Linked DNA regions of Lepisosteus oculatus. The protein of the gene in region 2 interacts with the protein of the main gene of each other region in a pairwise test. Links are inferred from orthologs where the notes say so. Each region holds a gene or a part of one and is shown on either strand. Other genes may lie near its edges.

The links.
Region 1: the proteins of grb10b (region 2) and gigyf2 interact in a two-hybrid assay, tested with the Homo sapiens proteins (2 studies listed by BioGRID). The link is inferred for Lepisosteus oculatus from reciprocal best matches to the Homo sapiens genes GRB10 and GIGYF2.
Region 3: the proteins of grb10b (region 2) and gigyf1a interact in a two-hybrid assay, tested with the Homo sapiens proteins (2 studies listed by BioGRID). The link is inferred for Lepisosteus oculatus from reciprocal best matches to the Homo sapiens genes GRB10 and GIGYF1.

What each region holds. Positions count from the first base shown.
Region 1 is NC_090708.1:19,413,145-19,420,586, reverse strand, and holds the start of gigyf2 (GRB10-interacting GYF protein 2), read left to right. Parts: upstream 1-4,428; 5' UTR 4,429-4,526; intron 4,527-7,442. UniProt on the Homo sapiens protein: Key component of the 4EHP-GYF2 complex, a multiprotein complex that acts as a repressor of translation initiation. In the 4EHP-GYF2 complex, acts as a factor that bridges EIF4E2 to ZFP36/TTP, linking translation repression with mRNA decay.
Region 2 is NC_090705.1:43,180,152-43,188,010, reverse strand, and holds the start of grb10b (growth factor receptor-bound protein 10), read left to right. Parts: upstream 1-4,761; 5' UTR 4,762-4,838; intron 4,839-5,206; exon of another isoform or gene 5,207-5,436; intron 5,437-7,859.
Region 3 is NC_090698.1:9,898,967-9,905,981, forward strand, and holds the start of gigyf1a (GRB10-interacting GYF protein 1), read left to right. Parts: upstream 1-3,942; 5' UTR 3,943-4,200; intron 4,201-7,015. Other genes in the region: pop7 (ribonuclease P protein subunit p20), read right to left, coding at 380-829. UniProt on the Homo sapiens protein: May act cooperatively with GRB10 to regulate tyrosine kinase receptor signaling. May increase IGF1 receptor phosphorylation under IGF1 stimulation as well as phosphorylation of IRS1 and SHC1.

The DNA.
Region 1 (7,442 bases), on a different chromosome or scaffold from region 2:
TGGGGTAATGAAGGGGTTTTGCTTAAACCAGTGGAGAGTAAATGATCCTCAACTTTTCATCAAGCTGCCTTTCTGCTTCTGGTTCGAACTGACGCATCCAGCTGACCATGAGTGACCATGTCTCTCTTCTATAAAATTAACAGGATGTATTACATCCGCTGACTTTTAAAACATGGGTTTCTACTCATCTCTGTTGTACATTATTTCAAGGAAATCATTTTAGAATTCTCCTGTGTAAAGACAGCCATCCCAAAGCTCTATAAAATAAACTGTATAAATGAAATGATATTTAATAATGGGGAAAATGCCGTACGTTGCTCCAAAAAGATTTGTTCAGCTTGAACAGACTAAACCTCCAATTTAACAAAATCCATCTGCCCTTATTTTATGAAAATGAGTTGTCATGACACTGGTTAAAAGGAAAATTTGGAAACCTCTGAATCTTACAGAAATGTTTGAAAGGAACTGTTACAAACGCAAAACATCTTGCACAGCCCTAGTTAACAATCCAGCATTTGTGGGCTAAAGTGTAGATAGTCTTATCTGAGAGACCAGATGGGTCTTTTAACACTTGTCTTCTTCAGTTTTCTTTGCTGTTTTGGAGGATGTGATCCCAGCTGAGGACTTATTATTAAGAATATTTTAAGCTTTTATTATAGTAGATGTAATATTTATGATATTATAATGTTTGACTCAATAATCACACTGGGTGTTTCTCATGTTTAATTAATGACCAAGAAGTACTTATTTTTTAATGTTTGTGTAATAAAGCTGAAAAAAATAAATTAGACAATTGTATTTTTCTGAAATAAATGGAAATTTAGTTCTGTCTTCTGTATCCTTTTTACCTGGTCACATTACAGCTGCTTACTCTTTGCAAAAACACTGTGTAGAAAGATTGAGACTCTGCAGTGTTGGTAAAGCTTAATTCAACTGCACTTCCCACAGTCTGAACAGTCACATCCCAACCTTACTTTGGAGCTGAGGAAAATGTTCTGATAAATCAATATTTGCTGGTAAACAGAAACCCTAAACCAATTCAATATCTCTAAAAATCCCATTCAACTACTGAGTGCCCTGCCCACAGGAACATCATGCAAAAGATAGCCTACAACAGTTTTTCATTGATGAATGCTGGGGAAAAATAGATTGTTTCCTGCTGTCTTGCTACTTCCAGAGGTTTTCTTCGATAGAACAGAAATCATAACTAGTGTGTGGTGCCTCTCAAGGCTTCAGAGCTTTGGGCCAGGCAGAAACTCGTATAAAGTAGCCCATGCAATGCCAACTGAAATGAACAAATAAATGAGGAGTTTCAACACTGGACCCTTAACAGAAATAATTGTAGATAACTCCAAGTTATCTACATTATTTCAGATATGAATAGAGAGCATTTGGCTTTTAAAAACTTGCATTCACATGTGAAACCTGCTGCCTGAAGCAGACAGACTAACACAGGAAATGACTTGATGGAGAATTTTTCTTCTGTTTTTGAATTCTGCTCACCATGAAATACCCAGATTAAAGTACAAGTAATGCAAGTTAAGCCCAACTAGTCCTTTTAGTGGTTAGCAACAAACTGTTTCAGGATCTCATCCAACCAGTACTTGAAATAAGACAGAGCTTCAGCTTGAATTACATGACTGGGTAGCTTGTTCGAGATTCTTCCAACCCTTTGTGTAAAGAAATGCCTCCTTTCAGGTAGTTTTCACTTTCAACCTGTGGTTTGTGTTTTCCTATTTATACTGAAGACATTCATTTGCTAGACTTTGTCACTTAGCATGACCTTCCTTTAAGACCTTCACAATAACTGGTTCCTCTTCTCTGGACTGATACCTTAACAGAAATACCATAATGACCATAGTGACTAATATTCAGTAATATTTCAGAGGTAAATGTAGGTACAGTTAGTTACAGCATACAGTACATTCCTACAGGAGTTCAAATCAGAGCAACTGTATATTATGGTAAGCTCCATTAACCTCTGTGAGGTTATACCCTTTTTAAATCAGATTGTTTTTTTGCTTTGGGTTATTTATTTAAAAGAATTATCATTAGGGCTCTGAAGGTGTGTTAACTATTGTGGTCAGAGCACACAGACTGATACAACATGAACTCTTTGATCAGCAAATGGAATATCCTTTCCAGTGGCTGCCCTCTGAAGGACATGGAAGGGTCATGGAAGGGGACCAACAGGTACCTAATTCTAGTTTAAGGGATTACTGGGATAGTCTGAAGTGCAAGAACATCAACAACCTCATCTGATGATTTATTTTAGCTTTTGTTCAGTTGTGTTCTGGATCTGGGGCAAGATCAGTGGTGTTTTCTGAGGGAGAGCTCAAGATTACACAGAATTCAAGAACGTGCACAGAGGTACTGCATGAAGACACACATCACTCTACTGAGTGACTCTGAAACAAAGGTGAAAATATTATGGCAAAGGCCCAACAAAAACATTTCAGGAAAGAGATATGCTGTGCGCATCGTGTATGTACACTATCTGTGGGTATTCAAATATTTGAGAAATGTCTTTTATCCATCCTTCTTAGAAATGCTTTATCCAATTCAGAGTCACGGGGGGAGCCAGAGTCTAGCTCAGCAAGCAACGGGCACAAGGCAAAATACAGTACCTCCTGTATGGGAAGCCAGTCCATTGCAGGATACACACAGACACAAACATACACATACTCACACCTAGGCCAGTTTTCCCAGCAGGCAATTAACTTACAGTACCTGTGAGAGAAAACTGGAGCACTTGGTGAAAACCCATGCAAACACAGGGCAAACATACCAACTCCACACAGATAGCACCCCAGGTCTGAAATTAAAAGCAGGGCTCCATGCAGCACTGCAAAGCCGCAACGCCAACCACTGTGCCACCAAGTCAAACACCTTTCAAGCATGGGAAATTGAAAAATGTTTATGCCCACAAAGCCCGGAACCTCTTTTCAACTTCTCTAATCTCATCTCTGCCAAGTCTGCAATTCGGGCCAGTCTAAAAACAATTGATTTTCTGTGTTTGCTGTGAAACATTTTTTAAACAAGGCATTGTGTTTTAAATAACAGTCTGTAACATTATCGGGTTTTATGACAACTCTTCAAGCAATCCCTTAAAATAAAGAATCAACTTACTGCATTGGAGTTTGAAGGTGATTATTAATATTGCTGTTCTCCTTAATTATATAATGTGAATTTCAGATTAAAACGTCCACTGGAAGAACAGTGAGCGCTGATCTATTAAATTATTTAATACATGATTAAGATGAGCAGGATAGCGTTCCCTTTGTTTTGCCTCCCCCCCAAGACTAAATCCTACTTTAAATAAGGCAACTGAATAAATAATAACCAAATAATAAGACAATGTTGATTTCCTTCTGATGGTTTACTCTCTCACAAAATAATTTGGATGAGTCTGGTCTGAGCTAAAAACTTTGACAACACACTTGGTCTGGATGACAATTTTATCCAATGTGACTTGTGTTGTAAGTATACACACAGTGAAGTGTATAAACACTAAGAAGCACTATATCCAATCGTCTGAGAAGAAAAGAACAAACAGGAAATGTTTGTAGTATAATGTGCAGTCACCATATTGTAGACCAAAAGGAGCCTGAGTAAGATCTGTTTTGGATGTCTAGACGTAGCTCTGGTGACAATAGTTTAAAAAGCAGAGAGTCAGATCACATGATGTACATTTTGAGCAGTGGGCTCAGAGGAGACACCATAAGGATAATGATAGTGCAGTCCTGACGTTTGTGGATAGCTGATTCTGCCAAGAGAGGGGATTATGAGGCCAATATGAGAATAACCACAAAGTTCAGGAGCCCAAAATTGTAAGGTCTCTTCTAATCCACTCAGAGCCAAAGGACATTGATTCATTCATTGTGAATTAGTAAAAACAAATTGGTTGTAGTCCAGATCTCTCCCATTCTCACAAGAAACGAGAGATGGTTCCACTCCAAACTGGCACTTTTTAAAACAATCCAAGCATGATTTGATAACATGATGTTGGAAAATGGCACTAAGACAATGGTCTTGAGTTTAATGTCAAACACTTTCTGATTCAGGTATTTCATAATAATGAAATAAATAAGGCAACTATATTTAACTAGATTTCTTAACATTTTCAACTAAGATGACTTTGTGAGAAATCCAACGTGCACTCGAATTCAAGTTCAAAAGTGAAACTTTAAAACACCATTATAAATACTGAAACTTCATGAATACGACTGAATTAGGAACCTTAATTTTTATATAAACATATATTTTAACACGAACATGCAGCCTCTAAAAGGGATTTTTTTTTTGTCTGTAGTACAGCAGTGCACTAAAAGTGATTAAATCCTATGGTCTCCTTGAGACGTGGTAATTGAACATAGCGAAAGAGCGTCTATGGTTGATAATCCCAAACCATCCGGGTCCCTAGTGGGTTATATGTGATCATGTGACCTGAACTCAGCCATCTTGTTGTGGAAACGAAGGGAGACAGAGAGCTCGCATAGATACCCTGCACTGTTAGTAAAGCAGAGGTAAGACAGCGCGGTGGAAATTGTAGCTGTTGTTATTAAATAAACCTAGACGATTAAAATGAACATGTCACTATCGTCTTGATCCCTGTCCCCAGTTGATCGGAAGCAATTTGCTCCGGTTTCGGGACCCGCATGGTTGAGTGGCCGTGTATCTGCGGGCTCGAGTGTGGTAGGGGTGCCGTGTCGGGGCTGACTTCAGGCGCCCTGGAACGGCAGGAAAACGGGGTGTGGCGGCAGGCTGCTAGGCCGCACGGAAGGTTCAGGAGAGTGATAGCGAGGGGAGGGGAGGGGGTCGGTTAGGGATTAACTGGCGTGTCAGTGTACTTTCATACAGTTGGGGACTATCTGTTTGTCTCGTTTCGAAGTCTTTTGCTCGTGGTATTTTGTGGTCGATGAAGGTGGTCGGACTGGTGCTGTTTGTGAGGCTGGGGGAGGGAAGTCCTGACGAAAAAGTTGTGACAGTTTGCCCACAGAGCACACAATGCCTCCACGAATTCCAGTAGCTGCTCTGGATTCTGCAATGACAAGACAGTTTGAAACTGCAGTTTGCACTGGAGCGCTTTTCCAGGTGGCCTACCGGGGCACCCCGACGCCTGAGCTGGAAACTTTAAAATACCCACTTTTATTCGTACCCACTCTTCTCGAGTCGTTTCTTTATTAAGCAGCTCGTCCTTTAAAAGGCTTTCATCCTCTGATGCATTATGGTGATGTCGAATGTGGTTCGAGGGATGACTCCCGTTTACATACAGTGTAGAAATAAATGCTGTGTTTTTAAATACTTTTTTTTTCTTACGCGAGTGAGAATCTCGGATTTTTCTGAACGCAGCACAAGTTTCCCATGCGGATATTTTCGCGAGGCTTTCTGTCAGCCGTGCCCTGATGTACGTGCACCCTGTAAAAGTATTTGGTAGTTTTGTCTCTTCTGAACTTTATCGGGAAGCTGATTTTTTTTACCACCTAGCGTTTTAACTGTGTAGGAATCGCCTCGCTCTGAGCAAGTCTTTTTGAGTTTTTGTCTTCAGCTTTAAATTGCGACTTTCAAATCGTTGACTGTTAAAATTTAAAAGTAGATTTAAAAATCTACAGCTGGTGACTCATCAGTGATGTTTTTCATATAGAAAGGTGAAGCAATAATAGGGCTACAACTTGTTTGTTCCATGAGGTCATTTACAGCCACGCATCTCAACCGCGTGGGCTCTCAAAGACCTGCATTAGGTTATTTAACTGCCAGGACAGGACTGTCAGATATACTGAAAGAACATCTGTTTACTGAGTGGGTTTACGGAGCATTAGAGAATTATGGCAGAGTGCTGTACTTTGTGGTGCTCTCTGTCTCATGGAAGGTGGAGATAATGTGTGGATGTGCTTAGCAGTCCAGGTCTGTGGGGTTCCCGGTATAGAATCTGTATCTGAGGGTTTAAGCCAAGGACTGTGTTGAGGACAGCTCACCTGTGCTTATTGGGGGCAGGTGAAGTCTGGGGACTGGCAGGGGCCCGGCTGGGAGGGGGAAGCCTCTGACCTTTTTCATATTTGCATTGCTGGGAATGTGTGAGCTGAAGCTTGGGCAGCATCTTCTGTTAAAATGCAGGCACATTGGGCAGGCAAACATTGGCACGGGCAGGCAGGCATTCCTTCTAGAGAAAACGTATCGAGTTATAGTTTACCTTGCAGAAGCCTCCCATTACTGTCTGGGACTGCCCAGCAGATTCTGTGCCAAGAATGGGCTGTGATCTTCTATATCAAGGCTGCAGAGTGTGTAGGTACATTTCTGCCTTGATAAAGGAGAGGAGCTGCACCACAGAGTATTCTCATTAATTTATATCAATATGCAACATCTATCTCTTTTGTAACTGTTTCTATATGTATACACACTTAAAACACTTAAGCCGTTGTACCTCTTTATGGTCTGATCTTGTTAGATCTCGGAAGGCAGAGTGGTCAGTAGAGATCCTTATGGGAATCGATGTTGCTGCTGCAGGTGGTGTCAGTGGGCCAGTAGGTGGCACTTTTTTCTTTGAACCAGTGTTTTGCAAATCATCGTCTCAGGGCACACCAGTCTCCTGACAGTCCTACACCTCCCCTTTATCTGCTGTGTATTGGGGCTTCAATGTGTCACCTAAGTGGCGGACAAAGGGACCCGTTTCATAAATATATAAAGCAATATGGAATCCTTTATGATCAAAAGTGCTATATAAATGCAGTTGTTTTGTCTCTTTTGTCTCTGTGTGGATTCAGAAAGACATGTATGTGCAAAAACATCAAAAAGGTGCTTATCTATTAATAGGTGACTCTGTTTCTGTCAAGGCGGAGGGCAAGGCTGTTTGTCTCTCAGGTGTCATTAAATCAATGAATGACACCCTTACCAAATATTCTTTTCTTTGCGTTTGACTGACAGGGCATATAATTGGACTGAACTTATTAATTGTCACCGGTTACAGGGACTCAAAAGAGTCCTGTATTATTTTTCATCACTACTTCGCCGAGGCTGGAATGAGAAATTTGTGCACCTGCTGCCCTTTCTTGCATGTGGATTCAAATTCTGATTTCTTAAGTTTAGGAACCTTATGGTGATCACGCATGAGTCCCTACTTGTGATTAGTCTATAAAGAATATGTTCTGGAAGTTTATCAAATGAAACCTGTAGACTAAGAACTTTTTTTTTTTCAGTGGGTAATCCGCCCACTCTTTGGTAATTGCATTAGTTAGGCAGACTGCCCACAGTTTGTCCATAGTGAACAATTGGGACCAGTGTTGTGTTGTGTTCCTGTACACTGTGTGTGTTCTTGGAGGTCCTTTCAGAAATCTAAAAAGGACGTGTTTTCAAAAAGTTGCTGATTTAAAATGATTTTATCTCTTTAACATTGCAATGAATGTTGGCATTCACACAAGGCATATTTACAGCGTAGGCAGTGTGGT
Region 2 (7,859 bases):
ATTTTTGTGCAAGTTTTTAAACCAGGTTTAAGGGGTTAATGCAGGCACCTATGTCCAATTGTGTCTTTGTGGATCCATCTTGAGTTAATTGGATACATTGCAGTATCAAATTTGTAATGCAATTCATTGCTATCATAGCCTGCTGCCAAGTGGATGTGCACTAAAATGTTGTTTTGCTGTTACATTTCAAAAGTCATTTTTTGCTTATGCTTTAAACCAGCTTTTTAAAAAAAAATATTGATCATCACTGTTGATACAAATAGTGACACAGACATTTCCCGACAGTGCTGCTATCATTATCATTAGTTATAGGCCACTTCCTGGTAGCTTCCTGATTACAGATTGAGGCTTGACTGTCACTGATGAATCATCACTGGTCAAACTGCTGAAAACTGGCTACAGCCATTAAAATGGACTCTTCCCCAGTACTGGCCAAGTAACTTGTAATTGAAAGAAAGGTTTTAGAAAAATAAATATTTTTCTTTGAGGCCTGAAGGCTCTCTGCATTAGACTATTATATATACAGTACCTGTCACAGTCATGATAACAAAATAAGAAAAAACGCTTTGTTCATGTCAGTATGAAAATAATAGAAATCTTTTTCACTAAAGCATTAGGGTGTTTTAATTGCTCTGGATCTCCACCACAATGATCACTTTCAATATTGTGATTAGCTGTGTCCCTCCTTCTCTGCTCACATACTGTACAGTATCTCCTCAGGAAAGGCCATCTCTAGCCTGTCATTTTTCAGTCTCAGGCCTACAGGGTGGAGTGGGACATTGATGGAGAAATTCAGTAATTGATCCCAGCTTTGATATTGCACTCAGCCTTTTAAATACCGGTGAGCAGCACCACAATGTGAATGACAAAGAGTTGGCACACACCACTGCACACAAGCACATAATGTCCCTTTATAATTTTCATTTTACTTTTTTCGTTTAGCATTGTCTACATACTTGTACCATACATACTTCATTTGTAATATCAGGGGCTAGACATTTCACAATTTCAAAACTAAAAAATAATCCTCCATGTAGGACTAAAGACATGCCACTGTGAGTTTAGTTAACACATAAAACATAGCAAATTTTCAATATATCCTTTGACATATAAAACGCTTAAAATGAACTCAATATTTTGTAGAAAATAGACTATAGACTGAATTACCACCCTCACTGCCAAACATTTATGCATATATCTGTATGTTTCAGAGCTCTATATATTTTATTGCTCACTGACAATGATGGTGAGTGAAGTGAAGGGAATGCTGCTGAAAGAGATAATGCATAAAATCATATCTTTATTACAAGGGACAGTACAGCACACATGAATTTTAACAACGTGCAAAGTAGTGAATATAAAAAAAGGATGCAACAAAGCAAAATCTCTCTATGAAAGTCAATAAAACAATTAAAAATCAAGAATTAAAACTGCCATTGATGTCCCGGGTCATCAACAGGTTTTTCTCATGCTTTAAACTTTCTTACAGATGGACCCCAATCAGCTCCACCATTGAATGTGCTCACTGAGGGCCCGTGGAGCACCTGCAGTGCTGAAAAATCATTATGAAGGCTTGCTCCTGTGAGCTGTAATCTCTGGACATGCTCAGATGAATACGGACTAACATAAATTAGCCCTGTCTGGCACACATCAGGCTGTGCGTGAATTTACAGTCTACAGTCTGTATTAGGATGGATGCTGTATTCTAATGAGAGGACTGATGAAGGTTAGCCCTTTTTTCTTGTGGTTAGGTTGCAAAAAGCTCACATACTGTATTCATCTCACACCAGGCACAATTTTACTCAAATTAATCAGAGGAGGGAGTATACAAAGAGGAAATTAACACATTAACATATCAAATGGTATGCCTTGTTCTGCAGTTTCTCCAGAAGTAACAGGTGGCCATCTTGGCTCAAGGCCACAACACAGGGCCTGAGATCTGAACCAAGATGGTGGCGTTCTCACAAGGCCACCTCTCTCTGCATCTCATTCTAATGATCAAAAAGAAATATGAAATTATATATATTCTTAGAATGTATTTTGATTATGCTGAAGGTTGACTTTCTTTTTATGACATGCAAGGGGTCTTTTGGGTCAGTCAGGATATTATCTATAACTTTCATTTTCAGAAAGTAAACAGCATGTGTTATCTATCTATGTATATGCCAAATGCACACTTAGGTACTGTTTATATACTGTACAGAGATTATAACTAATCTGGTAAATCATCATACTCGTATAAAGTATGTACGAAAAAATGTATAATACCCTATAACCATGTGCAGAAGATTTCCTATAAATATGAGCCCATATGGCAGTGCCACTTTCTGCTCAGCTGGGAAAAGTTTCAGGCAATTAACCTTCTACACTGAAGAATCATGAGCCATGATTGGTTCTTCCCATGTTGGCCAGATACACAGATCTCTGGTTGTTTTTGCATTATTCCTCCGACTAGTTTCTAATTTCTCACATGCAGGGATGAAAGGCGACCAGATGTGAAAAACAATTTCATATATACTGTAATTGAAAAAAAACTATATCAAAAAGGTAAATGTAAACACATCTATAGAAATAATTCCATTGGTCACATTCAACCAATCAGATTTTACTGTATACCGTGGTAAAACCAAACTAAAGTGTGTTAAAACCGCAGTAAAACCACGGTGAAACATAAAGATAAACCATGGAAAACTACGACCAAACAAAGAAAATGAATGATCAAAGCATGACAGTTTGTAGAGTTAATAATTCTTAATAATGAAATCTCTCTATTGGAAAAGAAGAAAATTACAGATTACCACTTTAGGAAAAAAAGTACCTGCTCTTGCTGTTGGTTTACAAAGATGAAATGCATAACTGGCTATAAATCTCAGTTTAAACAGTACCTCTTATGATCTGCATTCAATTAACCTGCTTACATTTTCTTACGTTTATAAATATGTCTGATTTCTCCAGGCTGATTGAGAGGAATTGTGCTTTGTTAGGGTTTTACATTCCTGCAGGTAATTGTTTGTTTTTTTTGTTGTTATCACATAGTTGCAACACTATTTCTGTATACATCCTTTTTGGTCTTGAGCACCTGTTAACGTGAGAAATAAATGCAGTGAATTGCAGGTATGTGTATGAAGTAACTGTTTGTCCAATAACAACACTGCAGCAGAATTGGAATTGTTCAGTGACTTCTAATTCTTTTTCCTGTACGTAAAGCTAACTGCTCTTGACTCCTAGAAAGGTGTTCATTCTGGTAAATAGATGGATGGATTTATTAAAGACTGAATTTCCGGTACTTTCCTACACCTACTGTAGAATGCAAAATGGCCTCCTCAGTCCTAAAATCTCCCCTTATTTATTTATTTTTCTGATGGAACCCTATTTGATGACCAAGCATGAGCTAATAGTAGGCACTAGTATTTGGCTCATACAATATATGCTGGTAGAGTTTACTGTCTGTCTATTCATCTTTGTCAGCTAGAACTCCAGGACTCAAACAACCCTAAAGCTAAGAAGAAAAATCAATTTGGTTCACCACAGGGGAATGATTCTTTCTCAACATGGGTTTCACTTTTCTCTGCTAATCATACTCCTGGTGGGACTGTCCAAAAACTGTTCTGTGCAGTCACTTCATTTCCAATTCACACGTTTGCTGCTTGGCAAATTCATTTCTTTCCTTTTTGTTCCATGGAACCATGTTACCATGGAACTCAACCGCAGACAACGAATTCATGAGGTCAGCCCCGAATGGAAGTCTTGAAGAGTTTCCAGAGTATTTTGAAGATTCCCATTTGCTGGCCTTTGGAGGGAGTTATATTTCCAAATACCATCTCTGAAGGTACTGTACATTTGGGCAGCACTTTCTCATGTCCTGTTCCTTGTGAGGAAGCTGCCATTAGGCTTGAACATCTTGGAGATAGACACCACAGCTGAAACTGAGATGTCTTCCAGATGTTTTTTTGTAACTGAAGTTTTGTAACTCTCACTAATAAACAGAGGCAATCAAGAAGTCTTCCAGGAACTTGTGTAAACTTTGCAAGGCTTTGTGAACCTGACAGAAGACTACAATAACAGAGGACTGCATTTACAGCAGTTCAACATATTCCCTGGCTATGATATGAATAGATTTGAACATTGTATATGTAGAAAGGTATTATTTTTACATTTATGCTACTGATATGCAGTATTCAGTAGGTTTTCATAAATTTTAGCACATTTTGATTATTTAGTCGTTTACACCTGCACTTTAAATCTGCTGCTTGTTCTAGCTGTTACTGTACATAACAGAGGTATATTTGAGTACATTTGGGTGCAGCTAAGGCAAACACATAAACAGTGCCGTATCTTTTTATTATTTTTGTATGAGTGGCTTATTTCAGGTGCAACCGTTTAAAGTAAGGTTTTAAAACCGCCTTAGACGAAAGGGCTTCTCTAGAGTCAAATGCAAAGTATATGTACTGTATATGTGTGTGAATTAACTTTGGAGGAAATATTTGGTGTAACGGGGCAAATTATTGCAATCAGAAACAGCATGTTTTTTTCCATGCAATTCGATGTAGTAGAATATAACAAAACAGTTTTATGATTTCTAAAGCACCTTCCTTAGCTTTTCAACAAATGGACGATACAAGGGATAAATATCACGTGGATGCCTCTACCCCTGAAAGTGTGGGAGTGAGCGGCTCATAAATTACGTCAACGCAAGGAGTCCGGGATGGTGTTGCAATACCTGACTGAAAAAAAAAACAGTACACATTTAAAGAGCTCCTGTCTTTCACGATCCTTTCCCATGTTGCTGTATGGATTCGTCAGGAGCCGGGAGGGTACCTAGGCAGTTAAAAGCACGGGTGTGTACCCCTTTAGTAGGCGGGGTATAGATTTAACTTGTCTGCGCAAAGATGCCGGGGCAGAAGTATTTTTTTTTTTCAAAAAAAGTGTAGGTCTTCTACAGAATAGAAAACACAAAAGACGCACTTTATTTTCCACACTCTGGGGAGGAGGAAGATTTCTGTATCCCGAGTCATCGCAGTGAAGGGCCGGGAAGACCAACAGGAAGGCGAGAAGCAGCGGGGAGGGTGGGGGTACACGGTTTGGGGCGCCCGGTGCGCAGATCGGTTGCGCACGGTTAACGGGTTAAGCAGCCCGAGTCCCCCCCGAAGGTGGTGCCTGCGCTTCGCCGGCGGCTGTGCGTGGAGGAGGGGGAGGTGTCTGCGGGGCAGGTGGGTGGGGTTTTCTCGCGTGTGCTGGGGGAGTCAGCTGAGCCTGCAGCCCGTGAAAAACTGCCCGTTTTGGACGGGGGATGTTGTGCGCTGGGGAGACCGAGAGAGGAGAGCTCCGCTGAGCAGCGACTTCGCGTTGGTGAGCTCTGCGGCTGAAGTTGCGTTAAAAGTCGACCCTTCCCTGGCTCGCAGCCGTTATTTTCTTTGGGAGGGCTCTGGCTTGAAGGTAGGTCTCTTGAGATTAAGCAGCTTGTGGTATTTTTGTTGCTCCGGTGCGCTGCAGCGACTCCCCCGCTGTGTAGCGAACAAAGTTTGTGAAGAGCTGAGTGCCCGGAGATGCGAGGCTGGGTGGGTGGGTGCGCTGGGGTGCGAGCTGCTCCGGTCGCTACTCGGTAAAGGGAGAAGTCAGCTGTCCCCCCCAACACTGTATTAATGTCAGTCGCGACAGTTTCCAGCCTAAGTTTAAAGCAGGAGTGTCCTCGCTTTTGCGGTGTGGCACAGAAAATCAGGATTTGCACCAAGTGGTCTGAGTTGTTAAATCGAGCTTCTGGATGAGTTGGGTTGCAAATGTTAACGTCGAATTGAGAAAGCTAAAGAATCCAAGATTTGTCCGCGCTGTTTTGGAGACTTGGAAGCCATGGTCGCGTCAAGCGGGTTTATATACACATTTCAAATCCCTTTGCGGAAAGAAAAATCGGCGTGCGACAATATATAGCACGTAGTAAGTGTGGCGTTTAAACGAATCCCCAGTCGAGTTTAATACCAAGTTTGGTTCAAGACTTTAAATACAATATTTTTGGAGTGGTTCGGTAACTTTTAAGCAGATCTTCGTTTAGCGTTGAGTTTGGGGGTGGGGTAAGACGCTTTTCAGAGCTTTGCATTATTGAAACGGGCAAGCCAAAGTCTTTTAACACATGGATTGCGTTTTGTTACTGCGCTACGTTCTATAGCTTTGCGCATTCAAAGGCGTATTTGAAACATTTACAAAATAAACTTAATTTGTATCGTCGAAGGAGTAAATAATTCCGCTTTTACATTTCCTATAAGGCACTTGTATTATTTGGCGAAAAGTGATGTTTACTTTGGCGTTGCTGAATCAGCAGAATTCTACGTGCACTCTGCAGTAGTACAGCGGTAATCACGACTGTAGTTGCAACATCGACCTCATCCCCACCGAGGGCATTATGTTAATGTAGTGAAAAACATCCACCGTTAAGATTTTTTAAAGCAAAGCGTGTTCTGACACATCTCGCAGCTGGCACTGCAGAAGTGGACAAAGGCATAGAGACTGTCGGTTTCAGTTTACACAAGACTGTATTACACTCCTGTGTAAATACCAACGAGGTCTTGGATAATAACTGGATTCTGAAGTTAAAGCGCGCATAATGCAGGCTACACAGACTGCATTCACTTTAATGCTGCCATTTTGTTCCTTTTAGACTTTATAATTATATTGATTTCCGTATTTAGTAAAATATTGGTTTTACTAAATGCTCAATTGGTAAAGGTTCACACGATTTCAATTTAACTATGCATTATATTCCAGCACTTCTTAAGGTGCAATCGATGTTATTTTGGGCAGTGCTAGAACAAAGTTAAAATAAACAGGTTTAAACATTGAAATATTAGCGATTGTGTTTTGGGGTTGGGAATGGTCCTAATTGTTTATCTAGTGGTGTTTGTTTGAAAGAAGTTGCAGTTAGAACCACAAATGTGAAACTACTGTACAGTGTATGAGGTAACTTGGGGCTAATACCTAAACCCTTCAGACGCAGTCCTGAAAGATAAAGGGGTTTGCTAAGGGTGCTATACTTCAAATGTCATCATTTCACACTTGAGCAGCAGATAATAAGGCTTTAAATGTGTGTTTCCCATGAAGAGGATATTTTGTGCTTTTATAGGCTTTGTGAAGTGGTGATCTAGCTAATTTTTGTATCCTGATCCTTTGGATGGCCCTTCTGTTTTGGATTGGTCCTTTTTAGGAATTGCGTTATGGCATCTGTATCGAAAGAGTCAGTATAGGGTGATGTGTGGACAAAGACGGACAAATGGGTTCTGGTTGTTACAAGAGTTCCCTTTACATACCAGGTCTGTCACTCCAGGCATGAAGCCTTACCTACGTCTCGGGAATCTGCACAGAAGCCTATTTGTAGAATCTGAATGTTCTTTCCTTTTAGTAGATTCAGGAAAAAATGTGCACAATATAGTTTTGTTTTTAGTGCCTTCTGTAGATGGTGGGTTGATGTACTGCAGGGTCCCTCCAACAGGGATCTGGAGAACCCCATTCCAGTCTCTCGTGTAGGTCACCTTTTGTCTCCCCATTCCACGGATTGGCAGCACCTACGAGCAATTAGAGCATTAAGGCTGGGGGAGGCTGTTTGTTCCACTGTGCTCGTTGGGTAGTTCTAGTTGCTAAGTGAAAATAAAATTTCCTCCAGCTGTTTTTATTAAGAGTGCCCAGAGTTTGGCCTTCAACCACCTGGCTGGGAAGCCTGTTCCAAAGACTCGCAAAGTAAAGAAACATTTCCTCTCCTCCATCCAGAATGAAATGCCTTTTAGTTTTGTTTTCCCCTGTTTGACCCTGTGTCCTCTTTCTCTACTGGTGTGAATCCTAGGTGTAACTCCTGGCATCTTATGTACTTGAATACA
Region 3 (7,015 bases), on a different chromosome or scaffold from region 2:
GTTCACGGCACAGAGTCAAGGCTCTCGCCTGGAAAAAGGGCGATGGGGCAGAAAGGGCGCTGGGCCTGCGCAGGCCCACCCCACCCAGCAGGACCCACGCACCTTCTCCAGCAGCGCGGCGGTGTGATCAGGCTGTCAGCTCTTGTCCCAGCAGTCATTAAACCACAGCAACGGCCGAGAAGTGACGACCTGCTCAGAGACCAGCTGGGGGGGGGGGGGCACGCAGGGGCGATCAGGAGCCTGGGCCGTCCTGCCGCGGATCAGTGCAACACCGCGTGCAGACGGGATCTCCCAACGCGCTGTCCTCCGAGAGCCAGAATGCCCCGGGACCGGAGACCCTGCGGGACCGGTCAGCGCGTCCCTGCCCGCTCCAGTCCCCTCAGTGCCCCTCGCCGTAGAAGACCTTGATGTGGATGGCGGAGTTGTTGCGCGTGCGGGTCAGCGGCTCGCCCCCCTCCTCGTCCTCGGGCTCCAGGTCGTCCACCAGCTCCACGGTGGAGGTGTTGGCGGCGATCTGCAGCGCCCCCTGGCTGGCGGCCTGCAGCTGCAGCGCGATGTTGATGGCGCGGTTGATGGCCAGGCCCAGGCCGTGCACGCAGATCTCCCGCTGCCCGCCGCCCTCCAGCAGCTTCTGGCAGCGGGCCAGCTGGGCGCGGAAGTCGGTCTTCATGTTGACGTAGACGTCGTTGCGGCGGCGCGGCAGCTTGCGCGGGAGCCGCTTCCGCAGGGTGAACTCCACGGGGTCCATCTCCACCTCGCCAGCGCCCCCCAGTGGCCGGGCAGTGCCTCCACTGGCAGGGACAGACACAGGACTCCGGGGATCTGCCATCACACTGGAACAGGAGCAGGCAGAGAGAGGGAGAGAGGAGCAGGCAGGGAGAGGGGGAGAGGAGCAGGCAGGGAGAGGGGGAGAGGAGCAGGCAGGGAGAGGGAGAGGGAGGAGGAGCAGGCAGAGGGAGTTGGTGTTGTGTTAAAACATAATTACTTTGTGAACAATATTGGCTAATACATTAATATCCAGCAATATATATGCAATCATATTGTCCTGTGCCAAGTAGCATTGCCTTTGACAACAGTAGAATATCATCACACTCCTCTCTGTACAAATGTAGTCATAAACGGAGTATGTGTACTGTCTTTTTAATATATGAAGGAGAACACCAAGGTAGAGAATTCCTGGGTTAAACCTGGGTTTTATTCTTTATGTAAAACTGCAGAAACATGTACTGTACATATTTTTTTTGCCTAATCTTTAAATATTCAATGGAATACATTTATGATGACTTTGTCAGTAAAACTTACACATCCAGTTGGTTTACTGTTACTGTTATTGTTGGTCGATTGTCAGACGCCTCCAAAGCTTTTAGCCTATGTTTACACCAAATGTATTTGAATTTGGAATTACGCGGCGAAACGCAGGGAATGTGTCATTTTAAGGGAGAAGAGACAGAATTTCTTTGCTGGTTTGCACAGCCATGAATGGAGAGATACAGTAATGCCAAACAAAATGAAAACAATCCCAGGACGACACGCAAGTCGTAGCTAACAGAGCAATACATTTTATGAAGAGTTATTTTGCTGGCAAATGTGTTCCGAAAAGTTCCGGAATAAAATCCTCCTGATTTCATCATTCAAAGTTTCGGCTTCATCGGTTTTACTCTCACGTTTTCGTAATAAACGTGTTCGCGCTCTTTAGTGAAATCGGACGACAGCACAGTGAACATACAACATTTATTTCTGCCTTAATAAAGCGAGTTAAGTTTAGGGGGGCTTTATGCCCTGGTGAAGGCCGATTAGGTGAGCTTCTCTGGCGGCTTAACGCGTCAGGAAACATCGGTGCAGATGACGTGGCCCACCTCTTTGCGGTAACTTAAAACGGCTCCTGACATTGGTTCAGCTAGTTCGTTTGTTTTTGTTTTTTTATTTTGCACACCGAAACCACTGACCTTTTCTCCAAGTGAAAGAACTGAAGACTACAGATCGACGTCGGTGGTGTCGTTCGTGCTGTTGCGACCCGGACAGCGGCCTCGGCTCCCCGTCCTGGGGCTTCGCATGCAGAGAGACGGAAGGGTTTTAGAGCGACACCGCTGAACTGGTCCGACCCGGAAAGGCGGAAAGCCCCGGTAGGACAACGTTAATAGACGGACGCCACAGCGACCAACAAATGCATGACAACGAGGAGTTAGCGCCTATATATAGATACAGTATGTGAACCCCTGAAAAACTTAATTGATTTAAGTTTGAAGTCCAATAGCCATCTGAAACGGCAAGAAGTTCCTCTATGTGGCATAAAAGTGTTGAATTATGGAACTTCATACAACGGCTGGTGGATTTTTAAAGTTATTTTAGCCACATATTGAATTTTTTCCCTAAAATATGTGCTGCTCTGACATCTAGAGGAGGAAGTTTAAGCCGATGCTATGGAGGTGGATTTTATGAGTGCCCGGTGTCTGGAAACCAGCTGTGTCTGAGAGAGACGAGACCCAGGCTCACGCATGAGAGGGGAGGCGGGAAATGACCCCGAGAGTGACCTTTCAGAAACCAGACCGGAGGCAGAACATGCAAACACCACATGGTCAGGCCTGTGATGGACGCAGCCATGCGCGTTTTCCAATAGTCCCAGAAGGGAGTTTCCAGATCTGCAGAGGCGAAGGAGGAATGAAGCGTATGAGTTGACTTGCACAACGTTCTCCCAGCTGACAGGAGGGTCACTTCACAAGCGCACAAGTGCATACAAAGAGTTACAAAAGTGAGCAGGCCCCTCTGCCCCTCGTGCTAATTGGATTGCTAATGAGCCACAAATCCTATCCAGCCCTTTCTTATAAGATCCAGGGGAATCAGCTTCAACAGAGCTCTTGGGCAACGTTTTCCAGAAACCCACTGTCCTTTGTGTGAAGATATGTCATCCGTTCTCTGCCCTGAGTGCTGCTGAAAGAGGTGTATTTAAATCAGAGGCGCCCAGCTCTGGGGCTTGCAGGTCCCTTTAAACCTTCACCTGCTGCAGAGCAAGGAAAAGGCTTCTTGTACAGTTAATGCAAGGCTGTCGAGTCCTGGTGATGGAGGAGTCAGTGTGTCTGCAGTCTCTCCTGGTCTGTTTAAAGCAGGGCTGTCCAGTCCTGGTCCTGGAGGGGTCAGTGTGTCTACAGTCTCTCCAGGTCTCTTTTAAGCAGGGCTGTCCAGTCCTGGTCCTGGAGGGGTCAGTGTGTCTGCAGTCTCTCCTGGTCTGTTTAAAGCAGGGCTGTCCAGTCCTGGTCCTGGAGGGGTCAGTGTGTTTACAGTCTCTCCAGGTCTCTTTAAAGCAGGGCTGTCCAGTCCTGGTCCTGGAGGGGTCAGTGTGTCTGCAGTCTCTCCTGGTCTGTTTAAAGCAGGGCTGTCCAGTCCTGGTCCTGGAGGGGTCAGTGTGTTTACAGTCTCTCCAGGTCTCTTTAAAGCAGGGCTGTCCAGTCCTGGTTCTGGAGGGGTCAGTGTGTCTGCAGTCTCTCCTGGTCTCTTTAAAGCAGGGCTTTCCAGTCCTGGTCCTGGAGGGGTCAGTTTTCTGCAGTCTCTCCAGGTCTCTTTAAAGCAGCGCTGTCCAGTCCTGGTTCTGGAGGGGTCAGTGTGTCTGCAGTCTCTCCTGGTCTGTTTAAAGCAGGGCTGTCCAGTCCTGGTCCTGGAGGGGTCAGTGTGTCTGCAGTCTCTCCAGGTCTCTTTAAAGCAAGCTGTCTAGTCCTGGTCCAGGAGGGCCTTTCGTGTTTTTCATTGCAAGCTGGTTTTAGTTAAGGGGTCCACATGAACAGCACTCCACACATTATGCTGGCGCATTAAGTGAAAAAACAGAGTTAGAAGCCGGAGCCGCGCGGCATCCTCCAACCCTGCTGGATCATATATCACGTGACAGGGGGCGACTTCTGTGGTTCGGGGAAAAACTCAGCTTCTCGAGCTCCCCTATCACGTGGCGCGAGTAGGACGGCCATCTTTTTTTAAAACACAAACAAGGAGCGAGTGAGCACAGCGACAAACGCGCAACGACTGTTGGATACTACTTGCATTTAAAAATAGAATTTAAAACAACAGTAGTAATAATAGTTATTAATAATAATAGCAGCGAGTAATCCGGCGGAGGAAAAAAAATCGAGACAGCGGAAAGAAGACGAACAAAATAATTCAAGGAGAGAGAAATACATTTAAAAAACTCAAGTCGGGAACATAAACAAAACGCAGGTAAGCGCCAGACTTGCTTCTTCCCGGGTTTAACTGTATTTTTTAGGAGGAGGTGTGTGTGTAAGCGACAAGGGTGCGGTTTGTCTGTTTGGGGGGCTCTAAGTCTTGCGCGGATTGAGGGTTTCTTTCGCCTCGTCGTGGGGATGAAAGGGCAGGAGGAAAGACCGAGAGCAGGTGAAGGCCGCGGCGAGAGCAGCGGGGTAGAGTTGGAGGGGCGGCCGGCGGGGAGGGGAGGTGGGCGGGAGGGGGTCAGTGCCTCTCACACCCCGCCCCCCCCTCCTCCTCCTCCTCCCCCTCCCTGCTGGAAGGCCTGCAGCGTCGGGCCCCCTCTCTCCCGACCGGGAATCTCGGGGGCTGGATCGGTGCAGGATCGCCCGGCGTGCACAGCTGTGCGACACCCGTCTTTTTTGGAACTTGCACGGGTTTGTTTGTTTTTAGTTTGTTCCTCCCACGACAGCCTCAGTAACGTCGCTTTGCACCGCGCAGGGTAGGCCGTTGCTGGGACGTCGCCGCAGCTGCAGCTGCTTCTGCCATCGGTGCTGTAACAAGGTGGTGCTGCGTTTCCTGCGCCGCTCATGCGTTAATCAAGACCGGGCGGCAGGGCTGGCGGGGCGGCGTGAGCGCAGAGCGGGTCGTGTCGGTGTTCACGGTGCCGATGGTGCGCCTGTTCTGACGCCGTGGAGGTGACGGACTGCAGCCGCGCAGTGGGTCCGGGAGCCTGGCGTGTGGGGTGGGGACGGGCAGTTTTCAGGGGGCGCCGTGCAGCTCCCCGCAAGCTAGGACTGTCCCCCCTGAGGTGCTTGTCACCGTACCAAGGTGCAGACGGGTTTGTGGCGGCGGCGGCGGCGGCGAGTTTTTGTGTTTTGAAGTTTTGTTCGGATGCGCTAAAACCGCGCAGGGCAGTGCGCGCACTCCGATCCCTGCGAGCTGGCGCTGGCCTGTGGTTCAGGGAGCTGGGTGATTTTCTGCGTGCGGTCCGTGGAGGTGTGGTCCCGCACGGACGTTGTTTTGGACGGTCTCGCCGTGCGTTTTTGGCAGGGGGCTGTCAGGTCCGGCACCTGCGTTCCCCGTCATCCATAAAAAAAATTCCCCCAGGGGACGATAAAAATCTGATCTATCTTATCTCATTAAAGCCTACTCTCCGGCTGATCCTTCGTTATCGATCGGAGCGAATTCAGCAATCAAGGGTCGATTCAGTACTTATTGGAAAGTGGACGGCCCTGCGCTGCGATGAAATCCTGAGTTAGGTGCCCCTCGGTGACCGAGCACTCACGAAAGTGAGGCACTGAGACCTGGGTTTCTTCATAACTCGGTCTCCGCCTGGACCAGTGATACACACTATTCTCTCTGATGGTTTAAACCAGTATAGTTGTCCGGATCTGGAGCTGGGCTGGTCAGCAACAAAGCAGTGTTGCCTTTAGGGGGAGGATTGAGTTTCTTTTTCAGCTGTTCGGTACTTTACTTTAAGGCACGTTTGTATGATTTTGTCTATTCAGAGTGTTTTGTTTCTTTAAGGCATTGCTTTGGAGGGGGGTAACTATTGAGACGATGATGAGAATACCATGAGACTTGAAAGCACCGTTTTTAAAGACTGAAATGTTTTTATTTTAAATAAAAATTTTGTCAGTGGTGGTTCTATCAGTGTCTGCTGTGTTACAGTTCACAGCAGGGTGTGACAGTGTGTGTGTGTGCTGGTGAATTAATGGTGAATGTGAGAGGAGAGGGACAGCAGTGGCTCTAGCAGTGTCTACAGTACAGTCAGGTGTGACAGTGTGTGTGTGCTGGTGAATTCAGGGGGAGTGTGAGAGGAGAGGGACAGCAGTGGCTCTAGCAGTGTCTACAGTACAGTCAAGTGTGACAGTGTGTGTGTGCTGGTGAATTCAGGGGGAGTGTGAGAGGAGAGGGACAGCAGTGGCTCTAGCAGTGTCTACAGTACAGTCAAGTGTGACAGTGTGTGTGTGCTGGTGAATTCAGGGGGAGTGTGAGAGGAGAGGGACAGCAGTGGCTCTAGCAGTGTCTACAGTCCAGTCAGGTGTGACAGTGTGTGTGTGTGTGCTGGTGAATTCAGGGGGAGTGTGAGAGGAGAGGGACAGCAGTGGCTCTAGCAGTGTCTACAGTCCAGTCAGGTGTGACAGTGTGTGTGTGTGTGCTGGTGAATTCAGGGGGAGTGTGAGAGGAGAGGGACAGCAGTGGCTCTAGCAGTGTCTACAGTACAGTCAAGTGTGACAGTGTGTGTGTGCTGGTGAATTCAGGGGGAGTGTGAGAGGAGAGGGACAGCAGTGGCTCTAGCAGTGTCTACAGTCCAGTCAGGTGTGACAGTGTGTGTGTGTGTGCTGGTGAATTCAGGGGGAGTGTGAGAGGAGAGGGACAGCAGTGGCTCTAGCAGTGTCTACAGTCCAGTCAGGTGTGACAGTGTGTGTGTGTGTGCTGGTGAATTCAGGGGGAGTGTGAGAGGAGAGGGACAGCAGTGGCTCTAGCAGTGTCTACAGTCCAGTCAGGTGTGACAGTGTGTGTGTGTGCTGGTGAATTCAGGGGGAGTGTGAGAGGAGAGGGACAGCAGTGGCTCTAGCAGTGTCTACAGTCCAGTCAGGTGTGACAGTGTGTGTGTGTGTGCTGGTGAATTCAGGGGGAGTGTGAGAGGAGAGGGACAGCAGTGGCTCTAGCAGTGTCTACAGTACAGTCAGGTGTGACAGTGTGTGTGTGTGCTGGTGAATTCAGGGTGAGTGTGAGAGGAGAGGGACAGCAGTGGCTCTAGCAGTGTTTATAGTACAGTCAGGTGTGACAGTGTGTGTGTGCTGGTGAATTCAGGGGGAGT